Linked DNA regions of Macaca fascicularis. The protein of the gene in region 1 interacts with the protein of each later gene in a pairwise test. Links are inferred from orthologs where the notes say so. Each region holds a gene or a part of one and is shown on either strand. Other genes may lie near its edges. The genes, in order: NMT2 and ACBD6.

What was found.
Region 2: the proteins of NMT2 (region 1) and ACBD6 interact in binary tests that used the Homo sapiens proteins (3 or more experiments, as listed by UniProt). The link is inferred for Macaca fascicularis from reciprocal best matches to the Homo sapiens genes NMT2 and ACBD6.

What each region holds. Positions count from the first base shown.
Region 1 is NC_088383.1:16,080,738-16,085,067, forward strand, and holds the start of NMT2 (glycylpeptide N-tetradecanoyltransferase 2), read right to left. Parts: upstream 2,886-4,330; 5' UTR 2,809-2,885; coding exon of another isoform or gene 2,727-2,808; coding exon 2,699-2,726; intron 1-2,698.
Region 2 is NC_088375.1:37,897,412-37,901,224, forward strand, and holds part of ACBD6 (acyl-CoA-binding domain-containing protein 6), read right to left. Parts: intron 2,056-3,813; coding exon 1,950-2,055; intron 1-1,949. UniProt on the Homo sapiens protein: Binds long-chain acyl-coenzyme A molecules with a strong preference for unsaturated C18:1-CoA, lower affinity for unsaturated C20:4-CoA, and very weak affinity for saturated C16:0-CoA. Does not bind fatty acids. Plays a role in protein N-myristoylation.

The DNA.
Region 1 (4,330 bases):
AGACTCTAATTGGGTATTTTCCTTTCTTTTTTTTTTTTTTTTTTGAGACGGAGTCTCGCTCTGTCGCCCAGGCTGGAGTGCAGTGGCCAGATCTCAGCTCACTGCAAGCTCCGCCTCCCGGGTTCCCGCCATTCTCCTGCCTCAGCCTCCCGAGTAGCTGGGACCACAGGCGCCGCCACCTCGCCCGGCTAATTTTTTGTGTTTTTAGTAGAGACGGGGTTTCACCGTGTTAGCCAGGATGGTCTCGATCTCCTGACCTTGTGATCCGCCCGTCTCGGCCTCCCAAAGTGCTGGGATTACAGGCTTGAGCCACCGCGCCCGGCCGGGTATTTTCCTTTCATTTGAGGCTCTAGTTTCAATTTAGTATGTCTAAGACGACTAGTAAATACATTATACTGAGTGGTGGGGTAAATGAATTCTTTCAGGCCACAAGAGTACTATTCAGTAAATTACCGCTCTGCACTGGCCGCTGCCTGGTGGCCTCAAATTGACAAACTGCCTTTAAAAGGTGAAACATGTTCTTACTAATTCATCCAAAGGCTCATTATTTGTTATTTATTTAAACTGATGGGAATGAAGAGGCCAAGGATAGAAAAAGAGTCTTTGAAATTTTAACATTTACAAACTTGAGCTACTTAAAGAAAACCTAGGTTTCCACTGCGATATCGTCAGTACATGAGCCAAATAAAACACATTTACTCCCCCAAATTTGGCACACATTGTCTAAATTCAAATCCAAACAGGCAATCCAAGGAGAGCAGTCATTTGGAGTTTTCCTAATCTCCTTACATTTAAATAGAGTACAATACATCTATTATGTTAATCTTTTCCCACTAGAAGCTATTAACATGGTATCTGCTCTTGGTTTAAACATTTCAGTACACGCGGCATCTCTAAATTTTGATAAACTTTCTAACATATAATGAATGTGCTGATATACAAAACTGAAAACTTCTGAAGGCAGCAGAGATGCCTCTGGGTGCTACTCTGGGAACTTTAGCTGCTTGAAAGGTGTCAGGGGACAGGCTCAGATCAATGGGCACACAGATGAGGAATTCTTTGTACCAGGGACATTCTCAACAGTGTAGGCAAAGAAGTCCTAATCAAGCCCCCAACCCAGAATATCAATCAAAGGAGGAACAATAAACAGGAATTACAGCAGAGAAGATAAAAATCCAGGGTCTCTCCAGAAAGACAATACAGGTACTTAAGTTAATCCGTCAGCTTGCATCTGCACCTGGGCCCATTTCTGGCACTAGAACTACCGTTTCAAAAACATATTTGTATTTAGCTATCTATTACAAGTACGTTTGTATCCCTGCATAAACAGAGTTCAGGTTCAGATTTCTGCGCAATTTCCTTTCCTCTCTTTAAAAAAAAAAAATATTCTAGACTCGAACATTCGATACTTGCAGCCGCCACTGAAGTATTCACGGCAAAAATAAAAACAACCTGCAAATGGGAGATGCACATAGTCGGCTTTTCTTTTCCTTGATTTCTTGTTAATATTTTATAATGAATTAGAGGTCAGTAAAAAGTCCCTTTCTTTAATAAATCTTAAAGTAAACAAGTAGAATGCAAATGATTTACACTTTCAATGATCAATCATTTCAAGAATCTCTCTACGAACTGAGTAAACCATCTGTGACTCAGGCCTCCCTATCATGTTTTTTAAGCTGACCCACTTCTCCATCACTCACCATGGTTCGAAAAATCTCACTTCTAAGGGTGTAGCAAGAACCGCTCTGTGCCAGCGCATAGTTTGAATCCAATAGGGTAAAAGGGTAATGCAAACAGCACTTTAAAAGGACACCAGTTTTTATGTAAAATGACCCACTGCCTCTAAAAAGAGAGCATCAACACCGGCCTTCACCTGAAGCAATCCTTTTCTCCAACAGAAGAGCAAATCAAGTCTGTAGGGTTCGGGGGCAAAGGCAAAGGATTAAGAAACCCGATCAAGTGTGAAAATGCTTGGTGCATCGAGTTTTGGAGATCAAATACTAGCTTTGCAAACGGGATGCGGCCAGGTCAGCGAGAGCCCGGCTCAGGGGATCGGCCCTGCTCTGAAAAGCTGTAGGGACACGCGAGGCGGTGCAAAGCCCAGTATCCCCAGCAGGGGCCGGGCCCGGGACCCCCTCCGCGCCAGAACTTTGCGCAGTTCGCCGCCCGCAGCCCCGACACCACCAGGGGCACCTCCATGCCGCTCCACCCACGTCTTTGCCCATTCTTTTTGGGTGGCGGCCGTGGAGAGGGGGTCTGAAGGGACTTAACAAGGATGGCAGGGGGCAGAAGAGGGCGACCTCCTACCCCAGGCTACGGCCGCCACAAAGGGCAGGGCGTCGCGCCTCTCCCTCGGAGCCCACCGGAGCCACCCGCGGGCGAGGGCAACACGCGCCTCCTGGGCCAGGCCGCCGGCGGGGATGGGCGAGGCCGGCCGGGGGCGCACGGCAGGTGACAGTAGCGTCGCCGGTCCCCGCCCGGGCCCCAGCCTCCCCGCCCACCCCGGGCCTCGCCTCCCCGCGCACTGTCCTCTCCCGCGAGCCCCGGACCTCACCACGGGCTCCGCGCCGCGGAGAAGCCATCGCGGGGCGGAGCGGCCGAAGAGCCCCCATTCCTGGGAGCCAGCCCCCGAGCGAGAGACCCTGGCGCGCGCGGTCCCCGCCCTGTAGCTCCCGGTGCGCCCGCGCGCCGCCCCTACCCTTTGGCGTGCTCCATCTCCTCCTCATTGTCTCCGTCTATCCCGCACGTGTCCTGGTCGTCCAGTTCCAGGCTCTGCTGGCTGGCCGCAGACTCGCTGTCCTCCGCCATCGCGGCGGCGCTGGCTGGGGAGGCGGCGCTCGGGGCCGGGCCCGCGCGGCGGGGCGGGCGCGGCCGCAGCTCCCTCTAGTGCCGCCCGCCGTACTGCTTGGAGTCGTAGCCCTGGCGCTGCGCCCCGCCCCGCCGGCCCCGCCCTGCCCCACGGGCTTCAATCCCGCTCTTGAACCCCGCCCACCTCTTCGTCCCTCCCCTCAAGCCCCGCCTCTCCCCGTCCTGCCGGCTTCAATCCAGCTCTCTAACCCCGCCCACCTCTGAGGCCCCTCCCCTCCAGCCCCGCCTCTCCCCGCCCGGCCGGCCTCAATCCCGCCCTCTAACCCCGCCCCTCCCCTCCCAGCTGGCCCCGCCCTACCCCGCCCCGCCCCGCCAGCTCCAACCCTGCCCACCGTGGCCAGCCCTGCGCAGGGCGAGTCCTGTATATCCAGGCCTGCGCGGTGCCTCTACCTGGGGCTGGGCTCTCAAGGCTGAAAACCTGCAGACTTGACATCCTGAGTGGCGGCATTTTTGGAACACAGGCCATGCGATTTTACTTCCGGACGACTTAGGGAGCGCTCCCAACCCGTGCAGGGAATTTTCCCACTCAGGAGTAGGCACTCAGGGCTGAGGCTTTCCAGAAGCTCTTCCCGCCCCTCCACATACATGTTAACAATCCATTTCGCATCTATCCATCTAATACATTATAAAATCAAATTCAAAGTCAAAACAGTATTTCAAACCCTCCCACCGCCCTGTCCCAACCAGGCTTGCAGCACTAAAACTCTTGACAGAGAAATTCTTGAGCTACCCGTGCTTTTCCTGGACACTACGGACGGCTCAGACCAGAACAGACATCTTGAGGGACATGGGGACGTGTCCACGATGCCGGGGGATTGGACAGTTTCAGGTAGGCCACCCTGGTTTTCCCAAAGTCAAGGTTGTGACCTAGATTTCCAAGCGAACGCGCACGGCCTTCTGTGCTGAAATCGTCCTCTGTTTCTCTCAGAACAGGGAAGGGAGGCACTCTGTAGTATTGCCAAATAGAAGGCCGGTGAAGTTCAGCCTTTCTTATTTGCTATTGCATTCTGTACAGAGCAGCCCTGTCCTTTGCTTTGCTGAGATGATCTTGTTCAAAGGTGCTGCCAGGCCACCAGAAGTCTGTGCGGTGGTTTTGCAAAGAGAGTCGTCAGAACCCGCTCAGTGAGGAATATGAGACTTTAAAGAGCCTGAATTTTTTGGTGTAGGTCCTTTATTTGCAGAAGATACTAGGAGCATTCTATGGCTTTTTTCCCCAAGGGAGACTAAGTTTTTAAAACGCAATGAGCTAGAAGTATCAAAAGATGAAAATTGCAGAGCGATTTCAAAGTCCATCAGCTGTTTGGCGTTGACACAACTAAAATTCTGTAAGAAGGGCAAATGGGGCCAAACACAAAAGGAAATACAATATTGCCTTTAACAATTGCAACTCTTTGTGAGGCAAAATGTCATATGTCACCTCTGTGAAACTTTAGGATAAAAGCAAATACAGATGAGTGAGGTT
Region 2 (3,813 bases), on another chromosome or scaffold:
CAATGTAGCTATCTGCACTGCTGACTTATGTTAAGACATTGCCACAGCCACCCCAACTTTCAGTGACTACCACTGTGATCAGTCAGCAGCCATCAACACTGAGGCAAGACCTTTTGCCCCACGAAGATTATGACTTGCTGAAGGCAAGCCAGATGATTGTCAGAATTTTTTTAGTAATAAAGTATTTTAAATTCAAGTATGTACTTTTTAAAAGATATAATGCTACTCTACACTTAATAGATGACTGTAGAGTGTAAACACAACTTTTTTGTTTGTTTGTTTTTTAAGATGGAGTCTTGCTCTGTTACCCAGCCTGGAGTGCAATGGTGCGATCTCGGCTCACTGCAACCTCTGCCTCCCAGGTTCAAGCATTTCTCCTACTGCAGCCTCCCAAGTAGCTGGGATTACAGGCACCCGCCACCATGCCTGGCTAATTTTTTTTTGTATTTTTAGTAGAGATGGGGTTCACTATGTTGGCCAGGCTGGTCTCAAGCTCCTGACCTTGTGGTCCACCCGCCTCAGCCTCCCAAAGTGCTGGGATTACAGGCATCAGTCACCGTGTCCACCCAGTAAACACAACTTTTATATGCACTGGGAAACCAAAAATTTCATGTGACTTGCTTTATTGCAATAGTCACTTTACTGCAGTAGTCTGGAACTGAATCTGCAATATTTCAGAGGTATGCCTGTATTTTGATTCTGAAAGGCAAAAAACAAACAAACAGACAAAAACCACAAACCCAGTTAGAATCAGAAGACCTGGTATTATTTTGTTTACTTAATGAAAACCACATAGTATTACTAGTCCCTTTGTGCAGTATCATAGTCTTACATTTTCAATTCCAGATGCCACTGACAATATTATCACAGGAGAGATGTTGCCGAAAGGTGAGACAATATTAAGGGCTAACCTTTTATATATGCAGCTCTGAATTACACATAAGTTAATTATTATCTATTCTACAGATTATCTATGATCACTCAATGCTTTCTTCCTAACAATTACTACCTTTGGCCATTTCAGTAATCTTTCACAGCATCACCAAAGAATGAGAAAATGATTAGAAGTAAATTAGTAAATGTTGCTTCTTTGTTAACAACTATAATGCAGGGTCAGTTAAAACTCAGTTTGTGAATGGTATTATTCACAACACAAATAAATTAAGAAGTAATAGGCAAGGCACAGTGGCTCATGCCTATAATCCTAACACTTTGGGAAGCTGAGGCAGGAGGATCATTTGAGATCAGGAGGACAACACCAACCCGGACGACACAGCAAGACCCCATCTCCACAAAAAATTAAAAAATTAGCCAGGAGTGATGACACATGCCTGTAGTCCCGGCTACTTGGGAGGCTGAGGCAAGAGGACTGCATAAGCCCATGAGTTTGAGGATGCGGTGAGCTATTAGTGCACCAATGCACTCCAGCCTGGGCAACAGAGTGAGACCCTATCTCTCTCTAAAAAAAAAGAAGTAATATATTTTATAAAATAATTTACTATACGATTCCTTTAATTAGTAGGCCAGCATTTAAATTATTGATTTACCAAAATTCGGACACAGTTTTCTAGAGATACATTTATTGAGCAAAGAACAATATACCTAGCTGTTCAAGGTATAATAACAGAAGAAAGCTATTTATAAATGAGATATTGCTATTACCTGTAGATTTCACTTATTATGCTAATAATCTCTCTCTTTAGCATAAACATATGGAAGCTATCAGACTCCTACAAATTTCAGGTAGTAACTTCTAAAACATAGATAAAAATATGTTTGACACAATCACAGAACATATCTTAACTAGGTAACAGCATCTCATTTAGATATTCTGATATACTCTTAGCCATGCTGTACTTTGAGTTGTAGTTCATTGGCCTACCATTTAGGAAAAAGCACTGGGGCAGAACAACCATAGGAAAATAATTAACAGGGCATGTTTTACATACCTCTTCATCTTTTACATTCACATCCACATTTTTCGATTTGATGGCTTTGGTTATATGGTCAATGTTGTTTTCCCTGCAGTAATCAAATATATTTTTGTCTTCTTCCCTAGAATAAAAAAAAGAAAGGTCTTTTTCTTACTGGGTAATACAAAAAAGTTACATATTTTCAACACAATCTGTTTGCTGCTGACATAGATGTTAATGGACTCTGTTTAAAAAAAAATTTACATGAACAGTAATAGTTTTTCAGTAGCTGTAATACATCCAACTCCTGAAAAGACTAAAGTTCTTAGTTTCCCACTTGCCTTACAGGATAAGAGAATAAATTGTTACTCAAGTTTTTAAAATATACATGAAAGTTATTTTCTTAAAGCAAAGAAAATCAATTAGACAAAAAGAGGACGGCATTAAAAAATTCAGAAATCCTTTATAAGATAGTAGAATCAAAGACTAGAAAGAAAAGCTGGGAAGCATACTACATACCCAGCACTCTTCTAAGTATATTGTATGTGCTAATTCACTTAATCTTTCATCCAACAACTTCACTTTACAAATGAAGAAACAGGCAAAAAGGAGACATTAAATGACCTGCCAAATGGTACTACATTTATCAAAGGTAGAATAAGAGCTAGAATTCACTTAGATCAACTGATTTTGTATATAGTACATTTTTCTATTATATTATGCTGCCTTTTGACTAATCAGCTGCAGTCTATTCCAAAATCTGAAGCAGAAGTTCTTAACATGAAATCTATGGGCTCTCTAAATAATGTACAGAATTATCTTTATAATGCAGGTGCATTTTTCTGGCTGTTGTATGTACAGGGGGAAGAACTGTTTCAATCAGATTCTCAAAAAAATCAGTGACTCCCATAAAGATCAGTAATTTACAATATTAACAATCAAACTGCCCCATATGTGGACTGAATGTTATGAACAAGTATAAAGGAATGCATTTTCCGTTCCAAAAGTCAAACTAATGTGTTTTATGACTTGCAATGCCATAGCAGCCATTCATCAGAAAGCAAAACACCTGGTCATCGGAGTTCTTATATCTTAAAAGCCAATCTAAACATCTTGTGCCATATACAGTCATAGCTAATTTTCTTAAAAGACACTACTTTGGCATCAGCCATCTAAGCATTCTTTAAGCATCTGAAGTATTTTATTGAGCACCTACTACATGTAAGGCACTGGACAAGAATTTGTTGATAACAGATACAAGGCTAAGCAAGAAAGTTTGCCTTTAAGACACAAACAGTATAGTTGGGATGACACAAATCTACACAGGATTAACATAAAAGCTGAATCCTTAACAAGGACTACAAGAAAAGAAAGGAGAAACAACTTGCTTCAAGCTAGAGAAAATGAAGTAGGTTTTAAGTAAGAAATCATGTTTAATAGGTCTATATGGTCACTTGAAGAGGCCCTGTTAAACGGAAGAGAAAATGCTTTTTTGATCTTATTCTGTAAAGAAAATAAGAAGTGAGGCCAAACCCCAGAAAAGAAAATTCTGATTTTAAAAAGTAGAGCTGCAAATAATACCACTTTAGTCATATTTAACCACCATTAAAAACACCATGTCTCAGGAGGCTGAGGCAGGAGAATGGCGTGAACCTGGGAGGCGGAGCTTGCAGTGAGCTGAGATCCCATCACTGCACTCCAGCCTGGGCAACAGAGCCAGACATCATCTCAAAAAATCAAAAAAACAAACAAAACAAACAAACAAACAACAAAAAAAAACCCATGTCCGCACTTTGGGAGGCCGAGGCGGGTGGATCATGAGGTCAGGAGTTTGAAACTAGCCTGACCAACATGGTGAAACCCCGTTTCTAATAAAAATACACAAATTAGCTGGGAACGG